4 linked regions of the Saccharomyces cerevisiae S288C genome follow. The protein of the gene in region 4 purifies or fractionates together with the protein of the main gene of each other region. This does not show direct contact. Each region holds a gene or a part of one and is shown on either strand. Other genes may lie near its edges. The genes, in order: NUG1, RPF1, SPB4 and NOP15.

Region 1 (3,971 bases), on a different chromosome or scaffold from region 4:
TTATTTTGAGATATATTAAGGCTCTCCAAGTTCTTCAAAGGTTCTATGAACTCACATAAAGAGTTGATATTCGTGAATAGATTAAGCGATAAATCAAGGTCCTTGACGTTCACACAATTTTGTATTACACGGTTTAACTCATCTTGATTTTGAAACAATATAGCGACATCGGAATCTCGCAAAGCTATTTTTCTTAACTTCTTATAATTCTTATTTCTCGCATTTAGTTCATCGAATCCCAAACCCTCAACCCTTTTGTTACCTATAGATAGGTCATTAATGTTATTACTCGAGCCTCCATACTTTTCTGACAATGCTTCGTAAAACGTAATTCTGCGTACACCTGGAGATTTAATCTTAGACTCCTTCAAAAATGATCCTGAATTAGGAATTTGAACGTCAAAATAGTGTATGTCATCTATTGTTCCAGAATGTTTTCCCCGGCTGTGATCGTCCCATTCCACCCCATAAGCTTTTACCGAAGGCCACGGCTTAATAACACCTATGAATTTGATGGTGCAAAAATATCCACCAATCTTGAGTCTGTCCCCAATTTCATAAGTCATGCTATCTCTGAAATTCGTTTTGCATTTTATATTTTGTATATCTTATATATGAAACATAATAAAAGTTGGAACTTTTTAATGATTTCTTTGTCCAAAGAGCAAAAAGGCAGTAAAACTAAAAAAAATAAGATGTATAGTAATGAGTTTAAAAGCACACCTATAATTTACAGTAATGTTATTTGATGATAAAGAAAAAATAAGAAACACCCCTTACATAAAAATAGCCTTACATATGACTTATTTATTCCATCATTGTATCTTGATCTTTGCTAGCATCTATGGCCTTGTCAAGAGAGCTAAATAATCCATCCAAATCAAATTCTTTGGACCACTCGGATACAATGGTGGATTCATTTGCTGCAATTGGAGCTTGTTTAGTGCCAGTGTTTATAGTACTTAGATTTTGTTTATCTTGTTGAGATGCAGCTGCCGATGTATTTGGTAAAACCCAACCAAGAATTTTACCATCCCTCCAGTCATTAAGTACCGAAAGACCAGCACTGGCAAGATTTGGAATACCGCCTTTCCCTAATCTACCTCTTTTACGAGCGACGTGAATTAAGAAATGTTTTGTAAACGTATCTGCATCATTAGCAGGAATAGGAGGAATTTCATACAGCTTTTTAAAGCTCTCTGTCATTTCATCTGATTTAGCTAGTCTCTTTACCAACATTAAGACAGCTGGATACGGATCAACAATGTGTTTTGCCGGTAGAGCATTTAGAAGAGCTAATTCAGCTTCATGTTCAACTTTCGATCTTTTCTTATTTTCGCTTGGGAAACATATACCAGGAGAATCTAGAATCTTCAACTTGTTGTCGATTTTGATCTCTCTCAGAGAGGTAGTAACACCTGCTTCATTACCGACTGGGCAAGCCTTTGATTGACCTCCACGGCGCGCCAAAAGAGCGTTGATAACAGATGATTTACCAACATTTGGATAACCGATAACACCCACTACAATAGATCTCTTCAAATTGCTGTTATTAGAGTAAGTTTTCAGCGACTCTAGCAGTGCACTTGCAGTAGTGGTTTGGCTTAGCTTTCTGTTGAAAGAAGTTCCGTTGACTGCACCAGAAGAAGCTCTTAATGGGATTGTAGGAAAACTAGACTTTAAGTAATTTAACCATTGTTCCAATACATGTGGGGGAATTAAATCAACTTTGTTCAGTATTAAAATCAGCCTTTTACCCTGACTTTGTAAGACGGCTTCTTCCACCTTTCTTGATCTTGTACTCTCTGGATCTCTGGCATCCAAAACATATAGGATGACATCAGAAGCATCAATAACGGATTTGAAAATCTTGTCATAAGCTTTCCTAGATTTTTCAAGTTCTGACTCGCCTTCTACATCTTCACCGTAGAAATCAATGTTATAATCAATGACGTCCAATTCATCATCACGAACATCTGCATCATTAGAGGGTGTGCCCTCATATTCAGCAGCTGCTTGCTGAGCAGACTCAACCAAAGCTGCTAATCCATTTTCATCGTCTTCTATCATGTCTTCATCCATTGCATCAACGCCTTGTTCCTTGGCAGCTTTCCTAGCCTCCAATCGTTGTTGTTTGGCAAGCTCTCTTTCCTCTAAGTCCTTCATTTTTTTGGCTTCTATTTCTTCTAAGATCTTAGCCTTATAAGGAAAGTTAGAAGGAATACCAGGGTCTTTCTTAGACCTTGATCTCCAAGTAACGTCCTTCTTAGCCATCTTCTTTTCCTTTTTTCTATGGGCAGAAGCCTTCTTCTTAATACCTTCCTTCAACTTGGTAGATGTTCTTCTAGATTGGCGCTTTCTGACTCTCATTTTATGATATTATAGTCGTGACTGTATACCTATATGCTTGTTCTTGTGTGTACCAAAGTATTACTAGTACAATTCCCTCTTGATATAATTAGCTCATCTCATCGCCTCGCTCGAAAATTTTCAGCAGCTGTGAGAAAAAAATTTCAAAAAAAAAACAGAAGCGACGTTTAGAGTGACGTGAATCACTGTTAATGCAATACTATGGCACCTCACTAGATATATACATATATTTATGTGAGAAGTATATGCGCTTCTATTTATGGCACATACACCACCACATTCAATCATATAGCCTACTGTCCTTAAATTTGGAAAAATCAGCCATAGAAAACGCAGGTCGTAAGTTTGACGGAGCGAGATTAGCGGACTGACTTGCTGTCCTTTGTGGTTCGTGCTCCCTTTGCATTGTGGCTGAACTCTTACCAAGATCAAACATACTGCTACTCTTCATCCTGTACACATCTTTGAAGCCATCTACGTCTGTTCCAAGTTCACCTTCCTCCAATCTGGAAAATGGATCTGATCTCCTTAGAAATTTCAACCTTCTCCTTATGCCTGTCTTAAAGTCCTTGGTAATGTTGTACAGACCGGAAAAACGTCTTCTGATTATGTGTGACCTATGAAAGATCAAGTAAAATATGCAACAAATAATTGCGAACCACATCAAAAATCCTTTATTAGAAAGGCTGGAACTTTGCTTGCGTAGTTGATCAGACTCCAGTAACTTGCCAGGTATGAATTTCTTACCAGTGAGCTTAGTTCTTCTTTCACTGGGCGCAATACCCACCATGAAGTCATCATTACCTGCCAATATGCTACCTGAGGCATAAAGTAAAATTCTGCCTAGTGTCCACGATAACTCTCGTTCTTCGACTTTTTCCACACTTTGAAATAAGGGCCTGTCATTGACATTTTCTGCGTCGACATCTATTCGAGGCATATCAAACCCTTCATGAAGTATATTAAGGACCCAATTGCCCTTAAAGCATGCATCTTTCAAAAAATTCTCCGGAATAGAATTATACACGCCTTTATCACTGTTCGCTAATATTTGCGTCCAATTGGAATTGCAAAACTCCCTTAGGCTTTTGCTAAATTTGTCAAAGTTGTATTCGCCCCCAAGTTTGAATACGTCGTTGGCAGTGTACCAGTACTCAGAAGTACCTATAAATTTGTCATTGGCAAAGTCTATTCGAGGAGCATGAACACCATTAAACAAGCACGGCTCGTCATCACAAGGCATGTTCTTTAAAAGTAACGGATAAATAGATTTTGTACATTGTTCGTAATTCCCAGAACCCGCGATGTGAAATATGGTATCTTTAAATTCAAAATCCGTGCTGCTTCCTCGCGGCATACATGGATCATTCAAGTTCCTTGTAGAGAAGTCATCATTTTCGTAATCATTTGTGTTTTCTGGAAGGGTATTGATCAACTGAGCCAAGTACCTTCTTCTAGCCTGATTGGCACCAAACCCTAACCACGTACTAACAAAAACGTCCCATTTCTGCAAATCTCCGTTAACACTCCTCAAGAAGATGGTGGCGATGTCATCTCTATGTCTAGCTATTTCTCCTGAATCATGCGGTGCAAACGCAATC
Region 2 (3,406 bases), on a different chromosome or scaffold from region 4:
CCAAGCAACCAGTTTTAAAGAAGGTGATAAATTCTACATTGCCGCTGACAAACTATTGCCTATTGAAAGATTTTTACCTAAGCCTAAGGTGGTAGGCCCACCAAAACCAAAAAACAAGAAGAAGAGAAGTGGTGCCCCAGGTGGCCGTGGTGGTGCTTCAATGGGTCGCGGTGGTAGCAGAGGAGGTTTCAGAGGAGGCCGTGGTGGTAGTTCTTTCAGAGGAGGCCGTGGTGGCAGTTCTTTCAGAGGTGGATCTCGTGGCGGATCATTTAGAGGAGGATCTCGTGGCGGATCTCGTGGTGGTTTCAGAGGAGGTAGAAGATAATCTAGCTAGAAAAAAATAAAAAAAAAAACCATCCTTTATCTTTCACAATTCTTCATTTCTTCCAACTTACTATATCTGCCGAAGCACGTCTAACGTCGAAAAAAAAAAAAAGAAATTACCGTTTGTTCTGTATACTATATATATATATATTTGTTTGATTGATTTACCTGTAATAAATTGATTTAAAATGAAAAAAAGAGAAATTCAGTAATACCAGAAGCCGCCGTAGTTAAACAAACGACCACGGTTCTTACGGTTGTCTTAATATTATATCCATACAAAGTTTACGAATGGAACACTATAAATAAAACTTTTTCTTTTCTTTGTCCATCTCAGGTTTATGCTCCCATTCAGTTTCTTCCTTAATACCCCTTTGCAATCTTTTCAACTTGAGGGTAAATTGTGGACCCAGTTCTTGCAAACCAACCCTTTCATTATCTTTGAAGACATACCGATGCCTTCTGAAGAAAATGTAATCTCTTTGATTATGTAGGGTGATAACTTGTCGACCTTCAATATCAGGATTCTGAGGTAAAATGGACTGAAACAACCTACCTACTGTTTGACCCAATCTGGTCTGGAAATTATTTAGAATCAATTCTGGAATATGGCTAGTTGGTCTACCATGACCGACAATTTTCTTCACTTCAACAAATGATGATAATTTAAAATAAAAAGTTGGGCCCTCTGGCAGATGTATGAATGTTAGGCCAGTAACCTTTTTCTTGTCCTCGTTGATTATCACGATGTCAGTGAAATTCCTTTTTATACAAATATCAGATATTTCCTTCAATTTGTAGCCAAATTTTCTTTTCACAAATGTGACGTTTGGTAAAATTTCGATTAAAATGTTAGCAAATTCATAAGCGCTCTTCTTAGCGTTTACATTTGTGGTCAGAAAGATCTTTGGTGGCTCATTAGAATTGCTGTTGAAGTATCTCATCAAATCGTCTTCATCTCCCTCCACTTCCTTGTTAATGGTCTCATCGTACACTCTAGTGTTCTCTATCGTCTGTGTTACGTTCTCTTTTAATCTCTGCTCCCGCAGCTCCGGATTCTCTCTCTCTTCCTTAGCTCTCTTTCTTCTCATGGTATGGCGCTCTTTATTTTTTTCATGTTTTATATCAGCAAAAATTTCTTGCCTCTTTAGCTTGTTTGTGATGTTTATCTCATTACCGAGAGCCATTTTTTAGTATTTCAATATATTAAGCCTGCTTTACCTCTTCCTTAGGTGTTCAATCGTAAAGTATAGCTTATGGCATCGCATTTCTTTTTACATCTCATCGCTAAAAATTTTACTTTTCCTTTGTATAAATAATCATGTGTGACGAACGCGAAAATGAAAAATGCACTGAATTAAATGTATACAACGTTATATAGATCGTAAATATGTATATTGAAATATACACCTTTTTGTTCTTTCTACTACTGTAAAAGAAGAATGCATGCGTTATGACAGGGCAGCACGCCAATTTAACTTATTGCATATTTCAATGCAGGCTGTCCAGACAGAAGGAAAAGCTACTCAATTGTAGGCTTTGGTTCCGGCGTTACCCCCTTTGGTTTTGAGACTAGAGGTGGTAGAGTTTGGCTTACCATTTCTCAATATCAAATCGATAACTTCTTCGATCTTCTTGCCCTTACCGAACTCATTTTCCACTTGGGCCTTGGAGGCAGCGCCCAACTCACCCTCGGCACCCCTACCGTCCTGAGGAGTGAAAACTTCGAAGAGTTCGACAACTTCAGATAGCTTACCAATTGATGGATTTTTCAAATATTCGTCTACAAGCTCTTCGGATGCAGCGAAGACAATCAAATCTGTATTTTCACCCTTGTAAAAGTATTTGGTTACAGTAGACATGTTGATTTTATTTTGTGTATGCGATGGTTTTCTTATTTTTATCAGCTTGTTCAAAGTATGAATTTGTTGATAGCTGCTTTTTTATTAGTCAAGAATTGAGTTTAAAGAACATTGGCTTGTGATCATCATCGAAATTGATTCTCATCACTTAAATATCTTTTGCTCCCTGTTTCTGGCGATCCCTTCGACTAAATAAGGGGTCGTTGTTGTTACGTACGGCCCAACAGGGTAGTGCCTGCTCTAGCGTCGAAGTTAGAGGAAAAGAAGCTTAGAGAATAAAAACATTTACTAGTAGTAAGGGGTCTTATTGTCAGAAAGGGACAATTGCGTGGGCAGTATTTTCAAAGAGTGGCTTTCTTCTTCTGAACGGAGTTTCAACCTGCGCTTTCTTTTCCTCCTGCTAGGATTTATTTGTGAGAAAACGAAACTAGCTATAGAAACGCGTAGCACCGGCAGGCCGAAAACCGCTACTACGTAAAGGGGAATGAAAATGGGCCAAATTTGGTGTAAAGATATAGGAGAAGAGACACGGAGTAGGAATTCGCCGTGCCCCTATACAGAGACAACATGAATAGAGAGACAAACGCATTACGTAGTCTTGGAAGATAGCGCAACGGGAAATCTTGACACAGTAAGAAACATTTACAGTATAATAATACTAAAAATAAAATTAAGATACATCAATATAAAATTTTCGACAAATACAGAAAAGAACAGAGAAGAAAAAATGAAGGTGACGCAAAAAAGGAATTGACAGGCCGTAATGAGTAGTGATGGAAAGAAGGTAAATGGAAGTAATAAAGGAAAATCATAAACATGCTTAAAAGCGTACAATCTTGAATTGAATTAAGAATAACAATAACCTTGAAAGAAATGAAAATCAAAAGGAAAAACGCAACTATAACGATACAAAAAAGACTTAATAAAAGGACATGGAATCTTGAAAACGATAAAAAGCAATGAAAAAAAGAAAATAAAGCGCTGTTATATCACCGTCAGCCTAAGACCAAATACAATTTAACACTGAAGTAAAGAAAATACCAAGAAAGAAAAAGGGCCAAAAGGAAAACAAACATTTTTATATACACGTGTGGCTCAAGCAAACATAAAACCATTACTGCCTTGTTCCAAACGGTTTAACATTGCATTAGTGCTGTTAACAACCGCTTCGCTTCCTTGCATGATAACTTGTTGGCCACCCGTGCCTGAGAGGTCCATAG
Region 3 (4,688 bases), on a different chromosome or scaffold from region 4:
TTGAATGCTTGCATCGTGCATGAATACATACCGCATATATGTTTAAGTATGAATATACCTGTTAAAGAAAGTAATGAATCTGTATTGAAGAACCGTAGGTTTGACATGATCTGGTCGTTATATATACGCGTAATATGACTAGTCAAACTAAATGTATGACAAGTTCCAGAACTACTATTACATTGATCATAAGTAATAATACACAAATCAGCGTGTGTTTTATACTTCTCTTATATAGTATAAGAAGATCCATATTTAATCTTCATTAACACTACTTCTTAACCTCTAATTACCAACGGGTCAATGTTAGGATAATTGTTGGCATTCCATTGTTATTAAAGGGAATCAAAGTATATTAAAAATTCTTCCCAAGGATGTAATAACCTAAAAAAGGAAGCCCATATTTCTATATAATGTTATTAATATTTTCTTTTTCATATTATTGTCGCCACTCTTTATTCCATTACATTATCAAGTCTTGCATTTCGGCTTCCATTAAATTTGATGATTATTTCTCAGTCTTTGTGCCATCTACTCACACTCAATTTTAATATAGTGTTAATATGAATACTAATCAATGAGCGATCATTGGTTCCATTACAATAACGTTGTGATCGGAACTTATTTTGAAGTTATTCCTGTCGACTGCCTGATGTCAGTATTGAGGCTGTTTGATTATTTCTGAACATAATATCCTTTTCCTGTTACAAGTACATGCTGAACAAGAGATATATATTATGCTTTAAGATGGAGTATAATGGTTTTAGAATATTTTAAATTAAGTATGCATACACAAATAATCTACTTACTCACTATGATGCTACAAGATCATCCATTGGTTAAGAATGTTGAGTGATTCTACGAACAAGGTAACTTTTTTTCCATAATTATAAGTCGTCAAAATTGCCTTGGATAGCTTTGCTGGAAACTTTCTTCCGTTTATTCTGTAAAACGATTTCTTTCCAATCCTCTTTAATACGCTCTTCTTCAGCATTTTCATCGAGCTCTTCTGCTTTCAATTCTTCCTCTATAGCCTTCCTTTTTAAACTCATCTTTTCCTTTCTCTCGAGTTTCCGTTCTTTCGTCAATGTTTTATCTGACCACGCTAAATTCTTCTTCTTCAACTCACTTTTCAGCTTCTTTTTATCATTAATCAGGCTTATATTTTTTAATGTTTCTTGTCTCTCCTTTTCACGTTTTTTGTCCTTGTATTTATATTCATCCATATTAACTGGGGGATCGACCAACCAATTCCCTGGGAAAATCCCTTCTTGTTTTTCGGTGGCTAAGTACTTTGTTATCTCAGGCATTCTAGGCAGGCGGAAAAGACCATACAATTTCGCAATACCAACATAATCTAAAGATTGAAGCCTAAAAATTGAAGTTGCGGAATGATTTGAGTAGTATTTAATAAAGGCAACATATGCTTTAACACCTTTATCAAATCTATCCCTATCTTCTAGTATCCAATTTCTAAAGTCCTCGTAAAAGTTTGTTGTTATGCCCTTTACTTCCAAATCAAGTTCTTCAAGTTCCACATTTTTAACTTGCATGAAAGGAATAAAATCCTCTTCTCTGCCTTCATTAAGAAACGTAATTGCTTTACCCACTCTATTTGCTCTACCAGTTCTACCACATCTATGCATGAACATATCAGTATTGGTAGGGGGATCAAGCTGGATGACGAGATCAACGTCGGGTATGTCAATACCTCTAGCAGCCACATCTGTTGTGAATAAAACAGAATTACTTAGCGAATCAGTAAAAGCTGTTAGAGTTTTTGTCCTTGCCGATGTTTGAAGTTTTCCATGCAAGGAAAATATTTCTACTTCATTCACGAGAATATTCCTCTTTCCCAAATACTGGATAAATGAGTAGAAGTAGGAGACTGACACACATGTTGGAAAATATACAATACATTTCTTGAATTTGTAGTTATTCAAAATGCTAACCAAAAGTTGTAGTTTTTCGGCAGGATTTACGACACAGTAATTTAATTTCAAAGAGGAGGGCGCCTGGTTCTTAGAGTTAACGGTAATCCTGACAGGATTTCTAAGCCCTGTCTTAAAGATATCTGATCCGGCGCTACGCATAGTTGCAGAAAATAGACCCGTCCTTCTTTGTTTAGGCAATAGCCTCAGAATTTTTTCGGTATCCTTAATAAAACTCATATCCAACAATCTGTCTGCTTCATCCATAACTACCATACTGCATGCTGACGTCTTTACTGCTGGCATTTGTAAAAAGTCCAAAACTCTACCAGGTGTTCCAATCAGAATCTGCGGTCTATTCCGCAGAAAATTACTTACATCATCTCTAACTGTGGCTTCATTAGTACCAACCAGGAGCTGACATTTAATAGGGAACAAGTCGGAAGGATAATGTTCCAGAAATGATAGAACGACAGACTCAATTTGGCGTGACAATTCTCTTGTTGGAGCAATAATTAACGAGTGGAAGTGTGCTTTCTTGAATTTTGATGTATTCGCTTCTTCCTTTACAACTTTTTCTAGTACAGGTATAACAAACGCAGCGGTCTTACCTGAGCCTGTTACAGAATCAACTACTACATCCTTGTTGCCAGCAAGCATGGGAATTGTCGATGCTTGGACTGGAGTCATGGTCTCAAAACCCATAACATCGAGTCCTGTCCTTATCCAGGGAAGTAAAGAAAACCCGAGATTATCCCATTCCAATGACTTTGACATTGTTTTTATTGCTGCTGAGCTTTTAATATTATCTTACTACACCTCAAATCAATGGGCTCAGCTCATCTTGAAAAGCTCACTTTGTTTTTCAGTGAAAAATTTTTGAAAGCGAAAAGCCGGCTCAAAATAAAGAATAATATAGTATTCTCGAGGTGCCCACATGCAATCTTTACTGCCCTACTATAACCTCCCTTGAATGAGTAATTTCATTAGAAGGCTAGTTGGGAAAATGAAAGCGATTTCAACAGGTACCAATGCTATTGTTAGTAAGAAGGACTCCATTTACGCAAACTGGTCCAAAGAGCAGCTAATACGAAGGATCACTGAACTAGAAAACGCAAATAAGCCACATTCTGAAAAATTCCAGCACATCGAGGATAACAAAAAGCGCAAAATTTCGCAAGAAGAGGTTACGAGAAGCAAGGCGAAAAAGGCTCCGAAGAAGTTTGACTTTTCTAAACATAATACCAGGTTCATCGCCTTGAGATTTGCCTATTTGGGATGGAATTACAATGGCTTAGCTGTTCAGAAGGAATACACACCGTTGCCTACAGTAGAGGGTACCATTTTGGAGGCCATGAATAAGTGTAAACTTGTTCCCTCGATGGTTTTACAAGACTATAAATTTAGCAGATGTGGCAGAACAGACAAGGGAGTTAGCGCCATGAACCAAGTTATATCGTTAGAAGTCCGTTCCAATTTAACAGATGAGGAACAGCGGGATCCGACCAACGACAGCAGGGAAATACCCTATGTTCACGTTTTAAATCAATTACTACCCGACGATATTCGTATATCAGCTGTCTGCCTCAGACCGCCACCTAACTTTGACGCAAGATTCAGCTGTGTTCACCGGCACTATAAGTACATCTTTAATGGAAAAAACCTTAATATTGAAAAAATGTCTAAAGCCGCATCATATTTTGTTGGAGAGAGAGACTTCAGGAATTTTTGTAAGCTTGATGGCTCAAAACAAATTACCAATTTTAAACGAACAATAATAAGCTCAAAAATTCTTCCCCTTTCTGAAACTTTCTATTGTTTTGATCTCGTTGGTTCAGCATTCCTATGGCACCAAGTTCGTTGCATGATGGCCATTCTTTTCTTAGTTGGTCAATCACTTGAAGTGCCGGAAATTGTCTTGCGTCTGACTGATATTGAGAAAACCCCTCAAAGGCCTGTTTACGAAATGGCAAATGATATACCATTATTGTTATATGATTGTAAATTTCCTGAAATGGATTGGCAAGAACCTACTGTAGATGACTATAAGGCAATAAAATTCACGACAGCTACTGAAGCATTGACGTTACACTACGAACTTAAGGCCGCAGTATGCAATATTTTTAAAGATGTTTTGCCCACAGCAAATACAAACAACTTCTCAAAGACAATTATTAATTTGGGCGATGGAAGAGGTAAAGTAGTCGGTACCTATGTGAAACTAGAGGATAGAAGCGTTATGGAACCTGTCGAAGTTGTTAATGCTAAATACTCCAAGAAAAAGAACAACAAAAATAAGTAAAATAATATATAAACCTGTATAATATAACCTTGAAGACTATATTTCTTTTCATCACGTGCTATAAAAATAATTATAATTTAAATTTTTTAATATAAATATATAAATTAAAAATAGAAAGTAAAAAAAGAAATTAAAGAAAAAATAGTTTTTGTTTTCCGAAGATGTAAAATAGGTTGAAAGTTAGAAATTAGTATTATAATAGCAAAAAAAATTTAAAGTTAGAAATTAGAATTTAAGGCTCTACACACGTTTACGATGATATTGGACGACCGACACGAAAAGACAGTTTTAGGCTTTCTTTTGTCTTGCTCTTGCGTTGAAAGTACGTAATTTCCATTCGATTACTTACTCAACACTTGATATAGAGACCAACTATAAAATAAACTGTTTGGGAAGGAAAGCAGAACTCTTGTAATTACCTCATCTCATTATCAAGAAGCAAAATTTTAACTATG
Region 4 (3,065 bases):
TTCAACAAATAATAAGCAACACCTAGCATTAAAATGGCCAATATGACAACCAATGTACCACTACCTTTACTTTGGTTTTCAGAGGTAGATACCTTTTCCACAGAAACGCGCTCACTGGTCTTGTCAACGTCACCAATGTATAAACCTTTCAGTAGTCTCAATGCTTCGTCAGAATGACCGATATCGACAAAGCTTTCTGTAGCATCTTGTCCACCCAAATCCATTATAATTTCATCACCACCTGGATGTTCATCTTTGAATTGAGAAACATCGTAAACTTTGTCATCGATGATAATCCAGAAATTTTCTGGGCCATTGTGTTCGGCAACTTCTTGGTAACTGTAAACTTTAGGCATGATTGTTTGATATTTTATGTTGTAGTTGATTGATTTTCTTTACTATGAAGAAAATGAAAATCGAATTTAAATATTAACGAGGAAGCCTGAACGAAAATTTTTGAGAAAGTTTCAAAAGCTTCTTGTTCTTTATATAGTTATTGGAAAAAGGACAATATATATATTTGTTATTTATTGATATAATAACAATGCTTCTCAAATATCGCTTTTTGGCCACGAATGCGACAAAAATTTTCTCGTTATGCTAACCTCTCTCACTATCTCGATCTCGTATAGCTTTCTTTTTTGCAGCTATTGTTCTTTTTCTGGGCCGTTAAATTTTTCATCCGGAAACTCCAGGCTATTACCCGCTCCGTGATTTTGGTCGTTGAATCTTCGTAAAAGCAATCATGTAAATATCATTGAATACGGACAAACGGAACTATATTGCTGGAATTAATGATATAAATGGTTTCCCAAGTTTGCTATATCTCCTATTCTATCTTACAAAACCCTTTTCTCAGGGTGGATGAGAAGTGACAAGTCACCATTTGAATTCGATACCTGACTTGGCTAATTTTTTTATCCTTTCTTCATGTTTTTGCTTCATGTTATCCTTTAGCTGTTTTACTGGTTTGGTGATACCTTTCTCTACTAGAACTCTCTTCTTGTATTTGTACAATTTCTCGATTTTAGCTCCTTTTGGTAATACACGCACTTGTAGTAGATGACCCATCAACAAGTAATTGTTCATAGATTCTTGGGCGATCATTGCATCCTCTTTATTAACGAATTCTAAGAAGCCATAATGTCTGGAATTTCCAGTTTTCTTATTACGTGCTAATCTCACTTCTTTTAAATCACCGAATTGAGCAAAATATTTACTTAATTCCTTTTCGTGGAACCCATGTGGCAGTCTACTCACATAAATAATCCCAGAATACTCTTCAAGTGTCTTTTTATCTTTCGACTTTTTTTCATTAGCCTGCTTCTTAGGATTCAATCTTTTAATCTTGTGTGTACCGCTCTGCTCATCATCAGAAGCGGCTAAACCTTCAATTTCATCTTCATCTTTTTCGTCTTCTTCATCTGAACTGCTAGACGATGTTTCTAGAGCCAACTCTTCTTTCTCCTGTATAGGTTTTTCTTCGGTGGGTTGTTTGGTTACTGTTTCCTTGGTGGAAGTTTTGCTTGTTGACTTTACCATATCGATCTCTTTCCTCTGTTATTTTATCTCTAGAACTTAACCCTATAGAAAAGGTAGTTAATGAAGTTAAAAGTAATGGTAATCGTCTTCAAATTAAGTGATGAGATGAGATGCGATGCACTACTTCATTTTTTCTTATGGCGGAAAATTTTTCATAGTGAAAAGAAACAGGCAAAATCTGGGGGGTAACCGCATACGTCTCTGCTATGCCGTCTGTAATGAGGATGCTAAAGTTGCAATAGCTGCTATGCACATTAGAAAGGGTTTAGCAGGATAATGAGTTTTCAGAGATAGCACAAAACTCGAAAGGTTTCGGTACTACTACCTAGACAGCTCATCTTTCAATCGTTGAACCTTGAATTTTGAAGTTTAGGGATATTAAAAGATACTGTTAATTCTATCAATTTACACTAGACTTTGACATATGTATATATATATATATATTCACACAGCTTCATCATGAAATAAAAATCAAATGCAGAAGTGTATAATGAGAAGTACAGAATTCAAGACTCACTTTAGTTTTCACTCCATTTTTAGTTTTCCGCTCTCAGCTGCTCTTCTCGCTTTGATATCAGCGTCTGAACCAGCCTCAAAGGCATTCATAAACGTCCAATTCATTTCTTCCCCATTAGTTAAAAAGGAGGTGTTGCCATTCATTGTAAGTTTCCACTCTCTCTCTTCAAATGGTATACTTTCATTTTCTCCTTTCACCAGCTCAAATTTATCAATAGCACAACTTCCATTTCTTATAAAGGTGCCTTTGTTATCAATGGGCTCTTTGGCACTGGAGAATTTCAACAAGTTCATACCAAGAGCGGATTTAGTGGCTGCGTGGGTAACTATCATAATGGTCTTTACATTTGGAAATTTTCTCTCCACTCTGTCAATAAAGACAGGCCAGAATTTATGGCACCTCTCAAAAATATCTTCTTCTGTTTCACCCTTATTACTAGGAATAATACTAGGTTCCCAGTCTGGAGAGATCATGCTTGGAAAAAACTTACTCATAACTTCATGAGTAGCAGGCTCCGGGATAATGGGTCTATCAGGCTTATACCATTCTCCTACACCACGATCGACATATAATGGAATCTTTAAAGCCTCCACTGTGGGTTTACTAGTTTCTAAACAGCGGTAAAATGGGGAGGAGAAAATCATTTCTGGTTTGACATCTAATTTAGAGATATAGTTCGCCAGTTCATGTGCCTGTTCAACACCGTGTTCCGAAAGCGGGACATCGTTATCAATACCGGTGGGCGGTGGTGGATATGGTCCCTTTGGTAGCCAGTTTGACCTGTAACCATGTCTGGCAATGTATATATTTTCGATAGCCATAATTTATAGCACTATTTTAACCTCTTGTACAACTAATTGAACGTCTTACATATTGAACGAAACTGCTTTACTTCTAGGATTGTTTTCAAAGCTTTTTTATAAATTTCGAAATATCCGCTATTCGGATGACGTGATGACGCTTCGGCACCATTGATTATTTTTCCAGAGTTTAGATGTCTTCTATG

The links.
Region 1: the proteins of NOP15 (region 4) and NUG1 purify together in Saccharomyces cerevisiae (affinity purification with mass spectrometry; 7 studies listed by BioGRID). This does not show direct contact.
Region 2: the proteins of NOP15 (region 4) and RPF1 purify together in Saccharomyces cerevisiae (affinity purification with mass spectrometry; 5 studies listed by BioGRID, with this or other methods). This does not show direct contact.
Region 3: the proteins of NOP15 (region 4) and SPB4 purify together in Saccharomyces cerevisiae (affinity purification with mass spectrometry; 7 studies listed by BioGRID). This does not show direct contact.

The regions. Positions count from the first base shown.
Region 1 is NC_001137.3:161,122-165,092, reverse strand, and holds NUG1 (RNA-binding GTPase NUG1), read right to left. Parts: upstream 2,371-3,971; coding exon 808-2,370; downstream 1-807. Other genes in the region: PAC2 (Pac2p), read right to left, coding at 1-566; YND1 (apyrase), read right to left, coding at 2,651-3,971. UniProt on the Saccharomyces cerevisiae protein: GTPase required for 60S ribosomal subunit export to the cytoplasm.
Region 2 is NC_001140.6:279,600-283,005, reverse strand, and holds RPF1 (rRNA-binding ribosome biosynthesis protein RPF1), read right to left. Parts: upstream 1,512-3,406; coding exon 624-1,511; downstream 1-623. Other genes in the region: H/ACA snoRNP pseudouridylase subunit GAR1, read left to right, coding at 1-325; RTC3 (Rtc3p), read right to left, coding at 1,851-2,186; YHR086W-A (uncharacterized protein), read right to left, coding at 2,614-2,775; NAM8 (Nam8p), read right to left, coding at 3,282-3,406. UniProt on the Saccharomyces cerevisiae protein: Essential protein. Required for biogenesis of the 60S ribosomal subunit.
Region 3 is NC_001138.5:144,227-148,914, forward strand, and holds SPB4 (ATP-dependent RNA helicase SPB4), read right to left. Parts: upstream 2,709-4,688; coding exon 888-2,708; downstream 1-887. Other genes in the region: pseudouridine synthase DEG1, read left to right, coding at 2,905-4,233. UniProt on the Saccharomyces cerevisiae protein: ATP-binding RNA helicase involved in the biogenesis of 60S ribosomal subunits. Binds 90S pre-ribosomal particles and dissociates from pre-60S ribosomal particles after processing of 27SB pre-rRNA.
Region 4 is NC_001146.8:416,947-420,011, forward strand, and holds NOP15 (rRNA-binding ribosome biosynthesis protein NOP15), read right to left. Parts: upstream 1,543-3,065; coding exon 880-1,542; downstream 1-879. Other genes in the region: CYB5 (Cyb5p), read right to left, coding at 1-356; YNL108C (uncharacterized protein), read right to left, coding at 2,068-2,880. UniProt on the Saccharomyces cerevisiae protein: Involved in the biogenesis of the 60S ribosomal subunit. Required for pre-rRNA processing and cytokinesis. Associates with the precursors of the 25S and 5.8S rRNAs.